Drosophila melanogaster: one gene and its partners. The gene in region 1 interacts genetically with each later gene. Each region holds a gene or a part of one and is shown in the gene's direction. Other genes may lie near its edges.

Region 1 (4,983 bases):
CAATTGAATTGCTTTACAACGTATAAACTAACTCTAGTTTCTCTTCAATTGTCGATATAAATAAAACCTTTTACTCAATAAACTGAAAAAGACTAAAACATCAATGACTAAACTGAGAGAAAGAAATAAATATTTTTATGCAAGACCAATTTGTAGTGCTACAAAATTGCAAATTTCACTACAGTTCAAGATTGAAAAGAGTTTGCATGCAAAATGTGCACAATACGTCAATCAGAAGGTGAATTTCCGGGGTTGTCCCTTTTTTTTTCGAAAAAAATGCGAAAATCTGATTTTCACGTGACAGTCTGTGAAATAGGTATGTAGCACCTAGTCCGCCGGCGAATCCATTGAGAATCGCTCGGGTTGATAAGCCGCATCTTCCGTCAAGTGTGTGTAATAAGTTTGCCGTCTAATCAATTCCAGAATATTTCAAACGATTAGTACGAATTCGATGATCCCAGGCGGGAGATTGGATTTCCACAGATTATTCGGGCCAAGAAATTGTGCGCACGAGTGCAGTTTGGATGTCTGCGGCACATCCTTTCCGTTGGCCAAAAAATCCATAAGCGAAAGGGATACTTGGACTTGATGGCGGAACCGGAAACGGAAGCTGTCACGCAAGCCTTTCACTCGCCGCTCAATTTTTCATCCCGCAGTGTCAGTTGTATGAGTCACGAGTCATGTGTAACCGGAAAATTGCCTACTCTTGTGTGCTTCAAATGCTCGGAAAATGCTTTAAAATATTGCATATTTCTTAGCTTGCGAGTTTTTGATTCTACAGAGTAAAAAAAAAATACCTAAATGTTTGTGTAAATCAATGAAATTAATAGCTTAACTTGTTTTCTTCATATTTCTCGGTTAAAAAGTTATGGAAATATGATATTTTGTAGTTTGATAGAAAATTTTTAATGAAATTTCTATGACTTTCCACATCTCGTTTACTTTTCATGGAAATACACTTCTATTCACCCCAATTGATGACTTTATTTTCTGATTGTGTGGGCTAGTTCCCTATTGAATTCAATTATTTTCAAGCGTTTACTGCTGCTTGCGATCAATTAGTTTAATAATCAATTTAGGTGTGCTGTTAATGCTTAGCTAAATGTAAAGAGTGAGTCAGCTAAACGATTTAAACAAATTTTCTGCCACGTTTATTTGTTGGCGAAAAAGCGCGTTGATTTGCGCTATTCATGTGACGATGTTTAGAGTAAATTGAGTTGTATTTTAAATTATTTCTGTTAACATTTGTAAACGAATAAAGTTTTTTTCCATTGCAAGAAGTTGAAATTTAACCCTCTTTGGATGTAAGCTTTTCAATATATTTAGTCTTAATAAGTCTAGCTCAAAAATAAGTACTATAATTTAATAATTATATACATTTTACATAGCCTCGGCCCATTACCTTAATTTTAATGATACAAAGATGTTACTATGTAAGTCGGAAGCTTATTAAAAACCGAAAATCATCAAATCAACTAGATGCACAATGTTAAGATCATGTTTTTATTAAGATTATATTTTAGATAGATACTCTTGAGGTGGCATTGGTTTCTTGAGATGGAAAATACATCTATCTATCTATGTATCTATAAGAACTTAAATATCTGGCGGCCTGCTTGCGATCTGCGATCAACCGATTGAGTTGAGCTTTGACCCATGGAAAGAGGAGCGCGGTGGGCTATCTACCCATGATATCCAGTTTAGGGGTTGCCCTGCCAATGACGTCATAGTTGCTGCGTCAACGAAAAAGAAGATCAATGGTCATTTAAGATCGGTTCGGTTCAGTTCGGTTCGGTTGCGGTGCGCTTCGTCACTCATCGTTCATCGCATCGTATGGTATCGTATGGTATCGTATGGTATCGTATCGCATCGCATCGCTTCGGTTCGGTTTCAGTTCCGTGCTCAAGTTCTCCAGCTGGGGGGTTGGACTTGGACTTGGAGCTTGGGGCTTGGTTAAAAAGCCGCCGCTCGCCGGCAAATCAGTTCTGCTGCGATCGCGCCACTGCGCACTACGTAACGCTTCGGGAATCGCACATCCAGATCCAGATTCAGATCCACATCCAGATATCTGTGACATTTTGTCGAGTGAGTTGCGTTCTCAAAGATACAAGATACATCCGTGCGCGTATGTGTGTGTTTGCATGAATTTCGGCTCTTTTAATACCCTTTTTTTTTCGCGTGCACTAAGTGTTCCTATGTGTGTGTGTGTGGAGTTGCTTTTCAGTTGGGGCCGCAACTGCAACAATAAAATGCAATTAAGCCGCTCAAATCAACAATAAATTGAATTAAAGCGCGTGAACAGCGCTTAACAACTTCAACAGCGGCGATTCGAGCGAAATGTGGGTGAGAGTTTAAGGCTCCATCGGTTTTGACTTTCTGATTGTACAAATATGTATATATATATACTATAGCATACATACCTTCGACTAATTAATGCAAAACGCTGGCCGGCAGCTTTTGCATAATATTCTCTGAATAACTTTAATGCAATTAATCCCGCTGTGATCTTTCGTGTTTTCACTATTTCGCGCGGTTTATTCAATTTGAATTTCAATTTATTTTCGGTTTTTCTGTTTCATTTTGTTTATACATATATATATTTGTTCGGTCTAGTCTGCTCATCGGGCGATTTAATTAACATTTTCCGTGCTGCTGTGCTGTTGTTGTTGCTGGTAAATATGAAATTAAAGTGCAATTAACTATTATATATACATATATATATATATACATATATATATGTATATCTATGGTTTTGCTGAACTTGCGGACAAAAGGGATTTCCGTTTTTGAAAGTGCGACTCCGCTCGATTATTCTCCGTCCGTCGAATGTGTTTGCATCTTAATGAGGATAAATTTGTTATGGCCACTTCCCGTTCGCTATTGTTGTTGTTGTTGTTGTTGTTGTTGTTGTTTTTGCTGTGGTCGGTCGAAGGGGGCGTGACTTATTGGCCATGCATTACGCCATGTTAATTGAAACTTGTCGCTTGGCTAGCTGATTATGCAGACGCCATATTAATTGGACCATGGACCATGAGAGCATGGACCATCCATGTCCTCTAATCGAAATCCCGGCGACATTTGGATGAGTTGGGCGGTGGAAGCTGGCCAAACCAGTTACGGAGATCATTGGGATTTTGGCTTATCGATCCGGACTTAGATTGTGTGTGTGTGTGTTTGTGTTTACCCTGTTTATCTCGCCGGCAATGTGCGTTGAACCTTTGAGCTGCATCTGAAATAAGTAGAATGCAATGTAGTTAAGCTTTTTCTTGGGGTATATTCACTTGCCTACTTATTTTTATTAATTATTTTCCAAATATATCAAATATATATCAAATATATCAAATATATTATATACATCAAATTTTCAAATATGCAAATATCATTTAATGCTATTGGTACAGCTATTAATCAACTATACATGTAAATTGTTTATGCTTGTTACACTAAATTGAGTAATAATCCGGAAAACTCATGATAATTGACGGTTTGACAAAAATGATAGTAATATAGCATTTTGCAAGGGCAGAACTGCCACTTTGTAAATACAGTGATTGGAGTATCTATTAATTAGACAAAACTTGGCTTGCTGATATACTGCAAATATTTGTAAATTACTAGGTTCGGGCCTTTTAGCAGCTTTTTTTATGCCTTTAAATTGCAACTGCAATGAATTGAAGTACAAGAAATAAGTCATTCTGTTTAATGGAAAGTTAACGAGACTCATTTCTCAAATTCGCTAAATAAATTATATAAAAATGTATTCATATATTTTAACATTATATGACATAATGTTGAGTAAAGGGTATCCGTAAAATATCACTTGCATTTAATTTTTTGTAACTGCCTCGTTTGCTGCTTCTCGAATTTGCATAAAATGGAAATTAGTTTGTGTACTTAAAATTTCCAATTGAATTGGTTTTTTGACTCTGCTATTTGAAATCTGATTTTTATTTGTGCGTTGTTCAAATTCACCCCTCTCTTTCTATTTCTCTTTTGATTTACACTGCGGTGGTCACTGTGTTGTGTGTTTCAGTTTCGTTTTCAGTCAAATGCGGCACTAAAATGTTAATTCAGCCAAAGCAAACAACGATTATCGAGTGAAATAGGAATCGAACGCCACAAATCGCGAACTCGGGGTGAAGATCGAGTGCCTCGATGACTATGTTTTGGCAACAAAATGTAGACCACCAGTCGGATGAGCAGGACAAACAGGCGAAGGGTGCGGCGCCCACAAAGAGATTGAACATCAGCTTCAATGTGAAGATCGCGGTGAATGTGAATACCAAGATGACCACCACCCACATCAATCAGCAGGCACCTGGCACCTCCTCCTCCTCGTCGAACTCCCAGAATGCCTCACCCAGCAAGATTGTGGTCCGCCAGCAGAGCAGCTCCTTCGATCTACGTCAGCAATTGGCTCGCTTAGGCCGCCAATTGGCCAGTGGCCAGGATGGCCATGGCGGCATATCCACCATACTGATCATCAATCTTCTCCTGCTCATTCTACTCTCGATCTGCTGCGATGTCTGCCGATCGCACAACTATACGGTGCACCAGAGTCCCGAACCCGTCTCCAAAGACCAAATGCGCCTGCTGCGTCCCAAGCTGGACAGCGATGTGGTCGAGAAGGTGGCCATCTGGCACAAGCACGCCGCCGCAGCTCCGCCAAGCATTGTCGAGGGCATCGCCATCAGCAGCAGGCCACAGTCAACGATGGCCCATCATCCAGATGATCGAGATCGGGATCGTGATCCTTCGGAGGAACAGCATGGCGTCGACGAGCGAATGGTCCTGGAACGCGTGACCAGGGATTGTGTGCAGCGCTGCATTGTTGAGGTGAGTTCTAGATTTCTAACATTACCTAAGTTTTATATTGTATTTACATACATTGTGATAATGCACATTTCGTGATGGTGTCAAAAGAGCATAAAACATGCATAAAACATGCATAAAACATGACTTTCCCCAGGGCAAAGCAAAGAA
Region 2 (4,389 bases), on another chromosome or scaffold:
TCGAGCTATTTTCAACCTTTGGCCCTCCTCCAATCCCTCTCTCCCTTTTGTTTCCCTGCAACGGAAGAGGAGAGAAGGGAAATGTTGGCTCGGCTTTTGTGGGTTTCGTTTTCTAAGTTATTTTTAGAGTTGTTTGGATGGGTTGAAGTTGCAGGATTTTCTTTTTTTTCTGTATAAACAATATGTTTTCACACAATAAACTAAATCAACGTAAACGACACGTAAAATGCTACGAGTTGTGATGACTTCATCACCTGTACTAAAAGTTGTAATAAGGTTATAGTTAGGCGGGAAATTATGAGGAATATATTTGTAGGTCAGGTTTGGAAAAACGCACATGTATGCTAAACAAATTTGTAAAGGTATTAACCTTAACAATAAAAGAATAGTAGGTTTCTAAAAGTATCTAAATATTGCATCAACAATTTTTTGTTGTTAAAGTATAAATATTTTCTATGAATTCTTATAAGATATCATTTATTTTAATTTCCAAACTTAGTTGATAGCCCATAAAATCACATTTCTAATAGTTTCCAATTTTTAGTGCTAAAAAAAAAAAAAAAACAACTCAGATAAGAAAAGCAGAGAAATATCTGAAATTCTCAGCTACACTACACAGAAGGTAAAATAGTTAAGATTGGCCAAGAATGATTAATAGAGAAAAGCCAAGGAGTGAATTTTTGTCAATAGAGTAACATGAAATACAATTAGCACTAACGATAAGGAAATCCGTGGAATGTCCGGATTTTAATACTTAATACTTCAAAATCGCCCCTTTAGAAGGGGTCAGCAGAGCAAGCAATGACATCATTTAGGGGAGAGGGTGGGTCAGCATGCAGAGAAACAAACAAACAACACTCTTTGCCACAGGAAATTGAAATAAATCAGAGGGAGATGGCAACAGCCCAGGGCTTGGCAGCCATACAATGTTGGAGCTCACATACAAACACACAGGCAGGCCAATTTAACTGTTTATCGCGGTGGCAAACAAAAACAACATCAGAAACGGCAATTGCGAGAGATCGCACCTCAAAAAGAGAGCGAATAGAAAGAGACGGAGAGAGCGAAACATTAATTGAAGTGTCTATCAGAAAATAGCAGAGGATGACGTAATGCGTACGCTTTGGAATTATGAGCAATCAATGAAGAGGCACAAAAAATCAACTGGTACGCAAGACTACTACGAACACGGAATCGCCTGGCAAGCAAACAAAAATATCCTATGCAAACACAGGCCTTCAAGAAAGTCAAGGACACTTGCCCACCCAAAACTTTGGCATATGTAAGGCAAGCACTTTGCTTTTTTTTTATTCGTACTTAAATATCTTGGAAACACAAACAAGCAAAGAGAGGGAGAGTGTGCTCTCCCGCTTTCTCTCATCTGAAGTTGCCGCACCACCACCACCACCCGATGACGTACACACACACAGCGTTCTCTACTCCTGCGTAACCGCACACACACATGCACAACAGGAGCACCAGATACTTTTTCTTAAGTTGCAATTGGAGTCAAGAATTTTGAAAGAAATTCAAAATTTCTATTACTAATCAAGCAGTGACATTGCACAGCATAGCTTTTCAGTTATGGCCAAGACTTTTCTCTCACTTTAGCCCCGTTAATTGGATTTTTGTGTTGCCTTCGAGGGTGTGGCGTTGACCCGAAAAATTTTCACTTTGCACGCACACCGAATTTCAATTGCATTTTGAACCCAACTAACAGTGAGCTACGGACGAAAACTATGTAGAAACTTACACTTTGATGGCAATCTATTTGTTCACAGTTACTTTGTTAATTTAACTATTGATTTGCAGTAGTTATTCGTAATTTTCACGGAGCGCCTCTATTTCACGGGACCGCAGTTTTTTTCAATATGTCGGCCGATTGGCGCAGAACATTGACATCAATATCGCGATTTCTATCGATGTCAATCGATTATAAACATAGTTCTCTTTCTGGTCGCTTTGGCGCCTTAGTCATCTCATTATTTTTCTAGTAGATGTAGATGAGTAGTAGTAGATGATGTAAATAAATTAAAAACGACAGGGTATTTCAATTCAATCTGGTGCACTCATGCATGACTACTATTTCCTAGCGCGGCCCCAGAGTAAGCGGGGCTTATTATGGTATTATTCCGCAATAGCCCTGCGGTCACACTAATTTCCAGAGCAATCCAAAAAAAGGAAGCAGCCGAAAAAGAACAAAAACCTGCAGCATTTACATTCAAATATAAATCCGAAGCAAAGAAACAGCAAAATGGTGGACTACAGCAAGTGGAAGAACATCGAGGTGAGCCCACTGCTGGGTGCCAACCCAAAAAGTCCTCCTAATCGGCACACTACCTTTTAGATTTCGGATGATGAGGACGACACTCACCCAAACATAGACACGCCTTCTCTGTTCCGCTGGCGGCACCAGGCGCGCGTGGAGCGCATGGCGGAGATGGACCACGAGAAGGACGAGCTTAAGAAAAAGCGCCAGAGCTACCAGGCGCGCCTCATGGACGTCAAGGAGCGGATCTCAAAGAAGGATGGCGACGAGGAGGCCCTGAAGGTGGGTCATTGCACCGAATGCACTGCGCACTTGTTGCTTAGGCTAATGCCTGGTCTGGGAGTTCCCTATGTTCTCAATCCATCTAATTTATTCTTATTGTCAAGCTTATGATTGACTATCATCCTAAGTGGCCATCCATCTTTCATCGCAATGCTTAATCCCTAATTTGTATCGCCTACAGAAAGAGCTCGAAAAGATCGAGGCCGAGGGCAAAGAGCTGGACCGCATCGAGAGCGAGATGATTAAGAAGGAAAAGAAAACACCCTGGAACGTGGACACCATCAGCAAGCCCGGCTTTGAGAAGACCGTAATCAACAAGAAGGCCGGCCGCAAGCCGGATGAGAATCTGTCCGAGGAAGAGCGAGAGCAGCGCATGAAGCAATTCGTCAAGGAGAACGAGAAGCTCTGCCAGCAGTATGGCATGCTGCGCAAGTACGACGATTCGAAGCGGTTTCTGCAGGAGCATCTTCACTTGGTGGGCGAGGAGACGGCCAACTACCTAGTCATTTGGTCCATCAACCTGGAAATGGAGGAGAAGCACGAGCTGATGGCCCACGTGGCGCATCAGTGCATTTGCATGCAGTACATTCTAGAGTTGGCCAAACAGCTGGACGTGGATCCTCGCGCCTGTGTCAGCTCCTTCTTCTCAAAGATCCAGCACTGTCATCCCGAGTACCGCGCGCAGTTCGACAGCGAGATCGAAGGTTTCAAAGGACGTATCCAGAAGCGTGCGCAGGAGAAGATCCAGGAGGCGATAGCCCAGGCCGAAGAGGAGGAGCGCAAGGAGCGCCTCGGACCTGGTGGTCTGGACCCAGCCGATGTCTTTGAATCCCTGCCCGATGTACGTTCTAGTGATTCACTGTATGGGAATTACTTGACTAACTTTTCATGTATTTGCTCCGCAGGAACTAAAGGCCTGTTTCGAGTCCCGCGACGTAGAGCTGCTGCAGAAGACCATTGCGGCCATGCCCGTGGACGTCGCCAAGCTGCACATGAAGCGTTGTGTGGACTCTGGTCTCTGGGTGCCCAATGCCGCTGACTTGGAGGGTGACAAGAAGGAGGAAGATGACTCGGATGACGTCGCCGGTGGCGAGGAGAAGACCGACGATGCCAAATCAGAGAGTGCAGCCAAGGAGGAGCCCATCTACACTGGCGTCAGCACCGAGGACGTTGACTGATCGCCGCCACGTTTCCATCTACACCATAGCTCTAATCTTAATGTATTTGTCCACAAGCATATTTCATCCATAGCCAGATCCTGCGTCAGTTGAGTTATTGTATATAATTTGAATAAATTCTCAGTCACACGTCAAACATTCTGTGAACACTTCTGCCAGTTGTTATACGCTTCGACTCCGAATAGAAACAATGAACCGGCCGGAGCTGGACTACTACGCGGTGCTGGATCAGCCCAGAGGCGCCACCAAGGAGCAGATTACTCTGGCCTACCGCCGCCTGGCCATTCGGCTTTGCCCACATCGCGACAAGAAGGACGAGCAGGACTTTGTGCCGCTGGCCCAGGAGGGTCGTCTCACGCACCTCTCACCCATGGGCGAGCCCAGGCAGTGGGCCTACGTCAACATGGCCTTCGATGTGCTGGGCAACGATCTGTACCGGGCCATATACGATCGCTTTGGCGAGGCGGGTTTGTTCGAGGGCGTCATGCTGCCGAACGGATACTTTCCGCCCTATCAGTACGACGGCGACCACATGAAGGTCTACGAGCGGGTCTTCGGTAGCTACTCGCCGTATGCCAACGTGATCGATGCGATCTCCAATCCACCGAGCTTGTACGCTACGCGCCAGCATGGCATTGGCGTGCGTTCCAAGGACGCCAG
Region 3 (4,915 bases), on another chromosome or scaffold:
ATTGTTGAGAGCGATTTGAGAAGACTCAAATAAATATTTTAACAATTAAAGAAAAGTTATGATACCACAGTTTGCAAATAAATGGGTCCGATTTTCCAAATAATTATAATTTCAGCTCATATGCAGCGAATTTAGTATTTTTTGAACCTCCGTATTCATTATTCATTAATAATTCAAGCCATCCTTTATTTTACTCCCGTTGCCACTATAGGCTGCAATTGTTATTGAACATGACATCAGAAAATGTCGTTGAACCCACGAAGAGAAGGCAATTGTTTTAGAGAGCCACATGCAAGAGCCGTGTCGGCATTTATTCATATTTCCCTGTGTTCATGCGTGGTGAAGTTCCGATTTAGTTGAGCGTTCTTCTTTCGGCTCAGGTGAAGTGTGTGTGTGTGTAGACAAATCATTCGAGTTTGTGGCAAGTCAATAATACTCAATAGAAGGCAATTGTTTTAATAATTTGTCAGTAGCTAAAAAAAAACATAAGTGACAACAGACTCGGTCGTCGCTCTCCAGGAAGGTCGAACGACTACATTTTAATTGACTCAGTGATATAGTGTTAATTTTTAGCTGATACGTCCGATAAAGACTACATATACTAACGGTGAACGTGTTGATGTTATAGGAATTTGAATTAGCGTAAAATTGCACAGGAAGCAAATATTCACCTAGTCTGGCTGGGCATTAATTGACTCGTAATTTACGTAGAGGTAAATACACACATTTCAATCAGATTAGGACAGTAGAAGGAGACGAAATCGCATTTTGTCGATACAGTTTGGTGTGTGGCTAGATTTGATTTCAGTTATACGACCTGTAAGCTGTGACTTTGTGCTGTAATATTGTAAAAGTTAATTTAAAATGAAAAAAGAATATACTGCTAAGTTAGATAACCGTATACTTCAGTGATATTGGCCATACTGCCTAACGTTTTTATAAAAGTGTCCTTTTATTTATTTATTTTGCATTACACAACCCGTTAAAGTTAACATTTAACACTTTCTGTTTACTTTTTATTTCCAGGTAAGTCCCAATATTTCAGTATTTAAGGGTTTTGTGGTCAGGGAAACGGAGAATCTGAGCCATCGACGTAAACACATGTGTTTATATGTGCACATGAATTTCTATTTACATAAGGGAGCTCAGGAACACTCATATTTGGTCAAGTGTTAAATCAAAGTGACTAACGACTATGTTTATAGATTTTGCCCTCCGACTTTTCGCAAAATATCCCCAGGTATTCGTTAATATATTCTTAATATTAAATGGTATGTCCAGGCGCGAGTCCCCACTGCGAGTCCCTTCTGGATTGGATACTAGCCATTAGTATTCCCACGATGTAGACTCTAATATTTTCTATTTCAGCAATGTTCCATAGCATACCTTATCAATGACGAGTTCAATGGCGTTCACAAGAACCCAAGCGGAGACATTTAGAAACAAATAATTTGATTTCCAGTGACGCGACAGTGCTGAGTTATTTTGGTTACGTGAACAAATTAATACAACCTGACATTTTGTCAGTAACAGCGACGAGTTAATTGTTTTCAACTCGATTTGATCTTTGCAATCAACGCACTTTGTGACTAATTGTTGTCGTAATTACAAAACTGTGCAGTTTATCTCGGAGCATCTTAAGAGAGAGGCACTTGGAGACGAAGAGCGAGACCACTCTTCGACGAGCCATTGGACTTCTGGGCCAAGATAAAAGAGACTAAGCACACAAAGATGGATCGAAGAGCGAGAGAGCGGGAACGGTTGGCCAACACGCGGGCAGCGAGCTTGGCTCAAATGGCACACACATAGATGCCAAGGCGGCGGGTGCGAGTGTGTCGGTGCGGTGGCAAGCGGTTAAAACCTTTCTATAAAAATTTCATAAACGTATCAGTTGTCTGCGAAGCGGTGCACAAAACGGACGTGTAAACGGAAGCCGCACGAAAACGGCTCGGAAATCGGAATAGCGCCCGTACACGCAGCACATAGGAAATCGAATCCGAATCTGAGTTAAATGCCTTAATCGAATTTGGCCAAAGCTCGCCTACCGCGCTTACAAGTTTTTTCGTTCACGGGCCGATGAAATCTATATAATCTATTATCCACAAGCCACCACAGAGCCACTAGATGCACTGTGCGGCGCATGCGCGACCTGTTTGTGTTGTTGGCATACTTCTAACAGTCAGTGTTTTCTTTGTTCAAAAGTGCCTCAAGTAAAACCCCACTTTGATATGGATAAGTGGTAACAAGAGCAGCAGTAGCAGCAAAACTGGAAAAGGTACAAGCCCAGGGAAGCTGCAGTGTGCGGAACATTCCTCTGGTGGATCCGAACTCAGAAAAAGATGGGAACAGAACTTTCTATTTTCTTTACTGTTTCGCGTGTGTTTCGCTGGTCATGCAAACATATTTTCTTTGCCTCGGCGCATGCCGCTGGAATTAGAACGGTGTATTCCGTGCGGAATACAAAGTCGAGCTTATTTCGTAAGAGAATTCCTGCGAATCTGGTTATGCAATGCCTGACAGCCCACAAAGTCGTCCTCAAGTTGTTGCGAACTTTATCGTTTACTATGTGCTAAAATGCACAACTGGCTTGCCAAACGGGTGATACATTTTTGTAAGTGCTAAAGCGCTCAGTTCCGTGCACATGAACTTTCTTATACACTGCTGTGCACTTCCACGGCGTTTTTTTTTTTCAGACACCATACCAGGCCTCAGAAATCATATCAATTTCGACTTACGTGACTTGGGCAAACTGCGCCATTTCGCACATATTCTTTGCGTTTAGGCTAAGATTTAAGTTGGCTCTCAGGCTTGGAATTAGCGGAGTTTAGGGCCTTCTTTTATATCGCTTTTCAGCCTTCTCTTGCTGCACTGTGCCGTGGTCGTAAATTTCCTGCGTCATGAGTCATGCCTGTCAGTCGGAGTCGCTTAACAACAGCAGTGGTAGCAGAAAAAAGATAAAGATACAGATACAAAATATTCAGTTGAAAAACACATGAAAATTGCTTTCATGGTATTGAGTGTGGAGCTCCAGATGAGCTAAAGAGAGGCAAAAAAGCTCATTGTTTATGGTAGCTGGCTTCGTGGTCCGCTCTTTGTTGTTGGCATTCCGAGCTGTAACCTCTGATTGTGATCCCTTCGAATTACTCCTTTCAGTTCATTGGTTCTCTCTTCAGCTCCTGCCACTTAAGCTATTAACTGTGGACCGTGCACTTTCCCAAAAACCTCTTATACATACGCTGACGATACTTTGTTTTCAGTTAGAATAAATAAATACAGTAAGGGAATAAAATAAATGTGGTTTTTAAAGCATATATGTGCAATCTCGGAGTCACGTTCCTACTGGAATATTTGCGTCGTCCTTGCACTTCTCTTTTTTGAGTAACGGGTATTTGTTAGTCAAAGAACTCGCTTTGGTGTTTTCTCTTGTTTTTTTAAGAGTGTTGGCGCCACAAAATATTTGATGAATGTGAAGGACGTTCAATTTCTTTTAGTTTCTCTCTTAAAAAAACAATTTTTTTATTAAATTAAGTACACGAATGTCGCGGATATTAATATATATGAAAAGTTCGACATATCGAATAAATTCGAATTCCATGAGTGGAAGGGAACTAAGTCTCGTCACCATTGTGCAATGACCTAAATCACGGTCATAAAATCAAAGCCAAACTTTTTTTTACCATAAGTTTTGTTGTGTTGGTTGAGGTTGTCGGTCAATGGCTATGTTTTTGCTGGCCAAATAGCTTACTTTTGATTTCCACATTAATGGAGCGCAGCAAGCGAATCACAATGTTATTTGCATTAAATTTTTTTGGAGTCACGGAGAAAGTACGCACAAAAGCTATAAATTAGACGGCATCACACAGCTTCTTAATTCCTATCGCTCTCTTGCAATGATTCACTTTTTTTTGGCTACGCAACGTAGACTCGCTCACAGATTTGGCTGAAAACCATCATGTCGAATGGCAACAGAAAGAGTTAGTGTTTGATTTTCGAGGTTTACTAGTTGTGGATTGGCGCACTAGAAGGAAATAACAAAAAAGCAGACAAACATAAAAAACGTTAAACCGGTTCAATTTGGGTCGTAGTACCTTTGAGTGCAATTGTTACCTTTCAGAAACAACGACAACAAAGACTTCGCCAATCGCACTCCATTCCACTCGCTCTGCAGCTCATTATACCCGTTATTATGTTCGTCTTGTTCAGTTTTCTTGGCACGCGTTACCGTAAAAAAAAAAAACTCCCACACAAGCAACCGAAAACACATCGAGCGATATTTTGTAATGACCATGCTTCGAATCGGTTACCATAGGTCAGTCAACAAGTTCGGTGTGAGTTGAGCTTTTATTCAGGGATAAACGCACCGTAGTCTTTTTGTTCATACTCGGTTAGTAACAAAAACTATACAAATCTTTAAAACACTCGAACAATTTTGGTCTTTTTGTACAACTTAACGTATGTAAGAATGTGTAAAATATTGTAAAACACAACGATTTTCTACTAATGTTTTTAAAACATTTTAAAGATATTTTTAAAATATCATATACCGATTCCTCTGAAGTCCACCTACGGCTGTCTAATTCGCTAGATGTTGACTGTAAAAGGTACAGGGTTTTAAAATTGTTTCAATAAAGCAAAATGTTCCCGGATATGTTTCGATCAAGAATATATATATATATATACATTTTATATATACTTTTCAACGAATCTAATTTCCGCTTTTTATCTTCAACTACAGGAATAAAAATATAATTTCTTGGTACACGACAGTATTAGTCCTTGACGTCCGACTCGTGACAAAAACTGCTAAAAGATATAGATTACTATATGCATCAGAGCTTTCAATAGCCTTTCGAAAACAAGACGGGTTCAACTGGTTTTATACAACGTCGTTGCTGTTATGGTTATTGTTGGTGTT
Region 4 (7,259 bases), on another chromosome or scaffold:
CTGATTCTGGTGCACCTCCCAATCGGACAACCGAATCCAATTGGAGCTCTGGGTGGCCAGCTTGACCATGGCACATCTGTCCAAGGCGGAGGCCAGACCCTTTTTGCCATATGAGTCGTGCGTGGGCGAGATGATGCCACCTACCACTCTGTGGGTTCCCTGCATTTCGAAGTGGTCCTTGGCTATCTCTGTTGACAAAAACATGCCGCGTAATTTTATCGATTATGTACCGCAGAATTTCACAATCTAGTTTAACTCACCGAACATCCGAAGGTGCATGGGTGTGGGTGGACTGAAGCATCCGCAGGCTATGAAGGCGATCCGCGGCAGCAGGCTTTTTGTTTCCTCGATGAATGCTGACATTTTCTTCGATTTTGAGCGTCTTTTAAAAGATCCAAACCGCCGGAAGCATTCGCTTGTTATGTTGTTCTTGGGCCAGCTGATTTTCACAATCATCTGTTCGGCTTGTTGTTATTTTCCAACACTAAACAGCTGTGCAGTGGCTACCACCTCTGACTACCTTTGACTTGTTATTCGATAAATGATAACTTAATGTAACTTAATTTTTTGATTTTTAATCATCAAAAAGGCAAGAGTACATAAAAATGTATTAAAGCCTGTTTTACTGATATATCAAGAAGTATACAAACATCACTGCGTTTCTCATTAATAAGTACTTTTTTCGGTGTACCACACGAACATTGCTTTCGCTTGCGATAGTTAGCCAGCCCTGCCAGAACGATTGCCTGACGATACTAGTGTTATCGATTAGAAATGGCGTCCTCACTGTCTTTCTTTTAAGAAAAATTCGTGTAGTCTATTTACCATTTAGCAGCGTTGTGTGTGTCCGTTAATTGTAAGGACACGCTGTTTCTTAGAGAGAACCGCCTGGCTAGAGTGTCCGGAAAGCGGAAACCAAGACGATCGCAGGACGAGGTCGCGGAGCCGACTGCAAAAACAACGGCCAGCAGGCAGCGATATGAAAATGCATTTGTAGCCTTAGCCCACAACACTTGCACACACACCACACACTCTCGCGCACACTCACACACAGGGAAAAGGAGGTGGAGCAGAAGGAGCCGAAGCAGGAGAGGATTGCAAGGGACACCGCTGCAGCATCGCCATCATCTGCGCCAGGTGGAACACGAGGGTCAAGAGGCGTCGGCGGGGGAGGAGGAGCAGGAGGTGGAGGAGCGGCTGCGGCGACGACGACGACGTCCACGACCACGGCAACAACAAATGGCGCTGGTGACGGTGCAGCGCTCTCCCAGTGTGGCGGGCTCCTGCTCGAATTCGGTGAGAGGAGACTTGATGGTTTTCGCGTGTGCGTATGCGTGTGTGCTTTGTTTTGGTCACCCCCACTCTGCCAGGAGAGCCAATTACGGGCAGGCTCTTTAGTGCGTGTTCCGCTTTTGGCCATGATCCTTTGTGTGCTCGGATGTGCTTTTCATGCCCAATGTTTATCATCCGCCAGCTTGTTGCTTACGCTTTTTGGATTTCGACGTTCAACGTTCGCGTGTGGGCGGTATGAGGCAGCGTCATCATCGTCATCGGCTGTGCTGCGCTGCGCTGCTTTTGGTGTAACCCAAGCAAATCCGCAGACGTCGCGACGTCTATATTTTTCAACAGACTTTTGCATTGCCTTATTTGTCGTTTTTGTCGCTTTCCGCTTACCGCTTGTTTTTGTTTTCTTCGCCGCCCCACCGCCCAAAAATAGTTCGCGAGACCTTGACGTCCGCCTGCACAGAGGGAAAAATTAATATCGGGGGTTGATCAATTTAATTTTACAAAACGTTTTAATTCAGATATGCTCAATATGTCAAATCGGTATTTTTGAACACATAAATTAACATTTTATTATTTCTAAGAAATCAGAAAATATAAAAAAAAAAAAAATACTTCACTAAACCGGAATCTTTTTCGAACTTGTGACCCTTTTCTCAAAATCAGACGGTATTCAGTTGAACAATCAGATTTCTTGGAACTGCAGATACAGCTTTGCTTCTTTTCCGCCCTTGAAGTGTAGACTATAATCAGGAGTTTATCTTACCCCTTTGCAAAATAATGAGCATGCAAGTTTGTTCTTTGCCAGACGACATCCTTATATTTAGCCTAACCCCACGGGTGAGGTGCAGCAGGATAAGGTATTCTTAAACACCGAGTAAACAACTTTCCTTTCTCTATAACATCAGGATGGCGAGTCCGAGGACGACGAGGGCAATAGCAAAGGAAACGATCGCAGCGAGTGCTTCTTTGCCGGCAAGGGAACCGCCCTGGTACTGGCTCTTAAGGATATCCCGCCCCTGACGCAAAGCGAGCGTCGCCTGAGCACCGACTCCACCCGCTCCAGTAACAGTACGCAAAGCAACAACTCGGACATCCAGCTCCACCTGCAATCAATGTTTTACCTGTTGCAGCGCGAGGACACGCTAAAGATGGTGCGTATCCAATGTAAAATTACTTTGTCTATCTTTTAAACATATCTTTCTATTCCTATCAAAAGGCTGTCAAGTTGGAGTCACAGCGGTCCAACCGCACGCGCTATCTGGTGATTGCATCGCGTAGTTGTTGTCGGAGCGGCACCAGCGACCGTCGGCGCCACCGGATCATGCGTCACCACTCGGTAAAAGTTGGTGGATCCGCGGGAACAAAGTCGTCCACCTCCCCGGCGGTCCCCACGCAGCGTCAGCTGTCCGTTGAGCAGACCGCCACAGAGGCCAGCAGCAAATGTGATAAAACAGCAGACAAGGAAAACGCAACGGCGGCCGGCGACAACAAGAATACCTCGGGCATGGAGGAGTCCTGCCTGCTGGGCATAGACTGCAACGAGCGGACCACCATTGGCCTGGTGGTGCCCATCCTGGCGGACACCACAATTCACCTGGATGGCGATGGGTAAGACTGGGCATTCATCTCGTAAGAGTCATGCACTCATAACTGCCTAATTGTCGCTATTAACCTTGGGAATTATTTATAGAATTAATTTAAAAATTAGCCGCCCCTAATCTATACACAAATCGGTGTCGCCTTGACCAATTTCCTAGTTGAGCGGTGGCATTTATGTCGCACATTTGTTTCCAATTTATCTTAAGCTATTTTAATAATAGCATGGCAGAGTGTATTTGTTCTGATAAACGTGTGATGTGCATTTCCTTAATTTCAATGGTTTATCTTATCTTGCTTTCAGCGGATTCAGCGTCAAAGTGTACGAAAAAACGCATATATTTAAGCCGGTCTCAGTGCAGGCCATGTGGTAGGTGCCTCCTTTGGAGTCAGATCCCCTTCAGTCACAAATTAAACCCTTGTTTCTTTCCAGGTCCGCGCTGCAGACGCTGCACAAAGTGTCGAAAAAGGCTCGTGAGAACAACTTCTATGCCAGTGGACCCTCCCACGACTGGCTATCCAGCTACGAGAGGCGCATCGAGTCGGACCAGTCTTGTCTGAACGAGTGGAATGCCATGGACGCGCTCGAGAGCCGCCGACCACCTTCGCCTGATGCCATACGAAACAAGTAAGGGTTCGGTACAACTAATTATTTACGGTTTTAATTCCTCTTTCCCTTGAATGCCATAAACAGACCCCCCGAAAAGGAGGAAACCGAAAGTGTCATTAAGATGAAGCTGAAGGCCATCATGATGTCAGTGGACCTGGACGAGGTCACCTCCAAGTATATACGCGGACGCCTCGAGGAGATCCTGGACATGGATTTGGGCGAGTACAAGTCGTTTATCGACGCCGAAATGCTCGTTATTCTAGGCCAAATGGATGCCCCCACCAAGATTTTCGAGCACGTCTATCTGGGATCAGAGTGGAATGCCAGCAACTTGGAGGAGCTGCAGAAAAACGGGTATGTTTAAGAGAAAAAAAAGGCCACACTATTGATATCCTGGGAAAATTGGCTAAAATCAGCGACAACTTATTTTCATTTTCAGCGTTCGCCACATCCTGAACGTGACGCGGGAGATCGATAACTTCTTTCCGGGCACCTTCGAGTATTTCAACGTTCGCGTGTACGACGATGAGAAGACGAACCTGCTCAAGTACTGGGACGATACGTTCCGCTACATCACGCGGGCGAAAGCCGAGGGATCCAAGGTGCTGGTGCACTGCAAGATGGGCGTCAGCCGATCCGCCTCGGTTGTCATCGCATATGCCATGAAGGCTTACCAGTGGGAGTTCCAGCAGGCGCTAGAGCACGTGAAGAAGAGGCGCAGCTGTATAAAGCCCAACAAGAACTTCCTCAATCAGCTGGAGACGTATAGTGGGATGTTGGACGCCATGAAGAACAAGGAGAAGCTGCAGCGCAGCAAGAGCGAGACGAACTTGAAGAGCACAAAGGACGCGCGACTGTTGCCTGGTAGCGAACCAACGCCCCTCATTCAGGCTCTAAACCAGGCCAAGTCGAAGTCGACTGGTGAAGCGGGCGTAACACCCGATGGCGAAGAGGAGGATGGTTCACGCATGCACCGGCGATCCATCGCCCAGAAGTCACAGCGTCGCATGGTTAGGCGCTCGAGCAGCACATCACCCAAAACCCAGACGGCTGTGGTTACCAAGCAGCAAAGCCAGTCTATGGAGAACCTTACGCCGGAACGTAGCGTGGCCGAGGAGCCAAAAAATATGCGCTTCCCAGGCAGCAACGGCGAGAACTACAGCGTCACCCAGAACCAGGTGCTGCACATCCAGAAACACACGCCTCTGTCAGTGCGCACACGAATTCACGATCTCGAGGCGCACCGGGCGGACCAGCTGCCACAGCAACCTGTCTGGACCTCGCTGACAAAACTGATTACACAGACCTCTCACTTGGGAAAAAGTGTCAGTGGCAGCAGTAGTGGAAATATTGACTCGCGGCGGGATTCTAGCTGTTCGGATGTATTCTCCTCGCAGGTGGACAGTGTTTTTGCCAAGGATGAAGGGGAGAAGCGCCAGCGTCGAAAGACGCACTCCTGGACAGAGTCCTTGGGTCCAAGTGGCGGCATCGTCCTGGACCCCACGCCACAGCAACAGAAGCAGCAGTCAAACGCCATTCTGCGTCCCCGAGGCACACGTCAGCGGGAGCTGCCTTCGCGGCACGCAAGTTGGGGATCAGGAGACAACCGATGCTGTCTGCCGCAGAGGACCAGTTCCGGCTCCTACTATGACTCCAATCGCAACACTACGGCCATCTTCGAGGGCGTTATCCAAGACCTCAAGCGCAGTTCCAATTGCAATGTAATCGAAGGAGTCGCCGTTGCTGTGGAACCGATAGTTGGAGTTGGCGAGGGCACCGTAAAGCGCACCAAGCAGAAGCTGGAAGAGAGCACCTCGCTGAAAAAGCGCTGCCAGGAAGAAAGCCAGGAGCTGCTACTCGAGGCTGTGGATGCTGGGCAGAGGCGGTGCCCAAGCCTCTATAGGAGCGCCTCCTCGGCGCACAGTCCGCGGCAGCGTCAGCCACTACGCTGTAATAGTGAGGAGCTGATGCACACCAGCGACATCGAGAACAAGAACACCACGCCAGGCGACCATGAGGCGACGGTAGTGCTGCGCGTCCAGGGACAAACGCTGGCCGACGATCAGCGCATCTCGGGCAATGTGCAAATACTCAAGCAAAATTTCGAAGCCAAAGCGGGAGTGGTGGGCACAGGAGGAGGAGGAGGCGGTGGCACTGCAGCGGGATCGGGCAGTAGTTCAACAATCGCAACGTCGGTATCGGCGGTGGCCGGAGCCTGCTCAGCGAATCCCGGCAAGAAGACGACTAGCCACCAATCACTGCCATCGTCGCCGGTGGCGCAGCATGCCAACCACGTGTCCGCCGCCTCCAACTCCAACTCCTCCGCCTCCAACTCGTCCGATTCCAGCGTAAGCGAAAATTGTGATCGTAATGTAAAAGGTCTAGTGCATAAATATCAAACCACTACTTCCTGCAGTAGCCAGGCGGCCGCCACCCCCACAGTCGCCTGTGCCCCACTGCCACCCGCCGGAACCGCCAGCAACATCAGCCACTCCTGCAGCACCACTACCACTACTAGCTTCAAGCAACGCCCGCTCTCCTACTACGACCGCTCGCTGTCCAACAGATCCACGCATGACTATAGCGACAGTCGACCGCCACCCGCGCCCGTCCGCGTCAGTCACAGCAGCAACGTTCAGCACCAGCAACAGCAGCAGCAACAACTGCAACCGGAGCAGCATCAGCAGCAGGTGCAGATCCGGCGGTTGGCGCAGCACGGGAAGACGCATCCGCTGAGCAGGCTAAGTGCTCCGAAAACAGGCTTTAACACCGCCGCCTACAACACCATGTAAAGGCCATGCTCTGCTTAACAACATGCTAACTGCAAACTGCAACATTCACATACCACTTGCAACTTGCAATCCATACCCTGTAGCCACTAAGGATCGTCCTCATCCTATCGCCTGCTTTACTTATTTATATACTCGCCCGCTTTCGACCATTTTGTGTTTTTTGTCCAACAATCGAACACCACCACCCCATCCATCCCCTCCATCATGCCTCGTGTTTGTTGTCTTGTTGTGTAAGGCGTCCATGAAAGCTTCTAAAGATCTTGTGTCTGCAATGTGTGAATGGAACTATTAAGATGACAAGAGAGGGCAAACAAAACAACCTATGGAAATGAAACTGTATTTGTACTTTTAAATTACTTGTAACTGTATACATATTTATTTTATATTATGCAAGAACTGCCTACGAATAAACGATTTATTGTATATACGTCATCGTCTTGTCTTGTGAGTGTCCCTGTGCCGTCCATGTGCCATTCACACCACAACTCCCATGTGTTGCCCAACAAACACTGCCCTCCGTTTTTACCAGATTTGTATTTGCAGCCTTATCCACATGATCCGCTCCTTCCGCTACTCTTGGGCGGAGTACAAGAAGTGATCCGGCACATGGAGCACCGACTGCCGAGGCCGCGGCCCAAAAGTTCCCACCTTGAACACTTGTATTTTTTGCCATTTATCAGACCACATATTTATAAATAAAAATGTGTAATCCAATTTCGAGCGCAATCTGTTTTACTGTTGGCCATGAGTCACCTTTGGGTACACACATAATTTAATAGTGACCGGAGATATGAATTATTTTCACATATTGTATAATTACAAAGAAATTAACAATTACTATTTAATATAAATGTAATTTGATGTAGTTTGGGGATTTTAAAGTTAAATGTAGATATAGCAAGGTGTGTATGGAAGGAAAAAATATATGGGTTCTAAAAAGTTTTTTTTTTAACAAAATCCTTATCGATTTGAAA

What was found.
Region 2: of sev (region 1) and Cdc37, changing one enhances a phenotype caused by changing the other (phenotypic enhancement), as found in Drosophila melanogaster (one study listed by BioGRID).
Region 3: of sev (region 1) and Src42A, changing one suppresses a phenotype caused by changing the other (phenotypic suppression), as found in Drosophila melanogaster (one study listed by BioGRID).
Region 4: of sev (region 1) and ssh, changing one suppresses a phenotype caused by changing the other (phenotypic suppression), as found in Drosophila melanogaster (one study listed by BioGRID).

Annotation. Positions count from the first base shown.
Region 1 is NC_004354.4:11,083,298-11,088,280, reverse strand, and holds the start of sev (sevenless), read left to right. Parts: upstream 1-1,981; 5' UTR 1,982-2,085; intron 2,086-4,033; 5' UTR 4,034-4,155; coding exon 4,156-4,836; intron 4,837-4,983. UniProt on the Drosophila melanogaster protein: Receptor for an extracellular signal required to instruct a cell to differentiate into an R7 photoreceptor. The ligand for sev is the boss (bride of sevenless) protein on the surface of the neighboring R8 cell.
Region 2 is NT_037436.4:1,793,446-1,797,834, forward strand, and holds Cdc37 (cell division cycle 37), read left to right. Parts: upstream 1-1,946; 5' UTR 1,947-2,254; coding exon 2,255-2,287; intron 2,288-2,347; coding exon 2,348-2,551; intron 2,552-2,732; coding exon 2,733-3,392; intron 3,393-3,408; exon of another isoform or gene 3,409-3,456; coding exon 3,457-3,729; 3' UTR 3,730-3,862; downstream 3,863-4,389. Other genes in the region: CG12020 (uncharacterized protein), read left to right, coding at 3,920-4,389. UniProt on the Drosophila melanogaster protein: Co-chaperone that binds to numerous kinases and promotes their interaction with the Hsp90 complex, resulting in stabilization and promotion of their activity. Required for cytokinesis and chromosome segregation in mitosis and male meiosis.
Region 3 is NT_033778.4:5,991,103-5,996,017, forward strand, and holds the start of Src42A (Src oncogene at 42A), read left to right. Parts: upstream 1-1,889; 5' UTR 1,890-2,275; intron 2,276-4,915. UniProt on the Drosophila melanogaster protein: Required directly or indirectly for the phosphorylation of drpr which is necessary for the interaction of drpr with shark and subsequent glial phagocytic activity.
Region 4 is NT_033777.3:24,938,455-24,945,713, reverse strand, and holds ssh (slingshot), read left to right. Parts: upstream 1-1,818; 5' UTR 1,819-2,064; coding exon 2,065-2,124; intron 2,125-2,192; coding exon 2,193-2,438; intron 2,439-2,503; coding exon 2,504-2,895; intron 2,896-3,187; coding exon 3,188-3,253; intron 3,254-3,316; coding exon 3,317-3,511; intron 3,512-3,577; coding exon 3,578-3,847; intron 3,848-3,932; coding exon 3,933-6,285; 3' UTR 6,286-6,711; downstream 6,712-7,259. Other genes in the region: Nmnat (nicotinamide mononucleotide adenylyltransferase), read right to left, coding at 1-188, 261-456. UniProt on the Drosophila melanogaster protein: Protein phosphatase which regulates actin filament dynamics. Dephosphorylates and activates the actin binding/depolymerizing factor tsr/cofilin, which subsequently binds to actin filaments and stimulates their disassembly. Required for axon growth.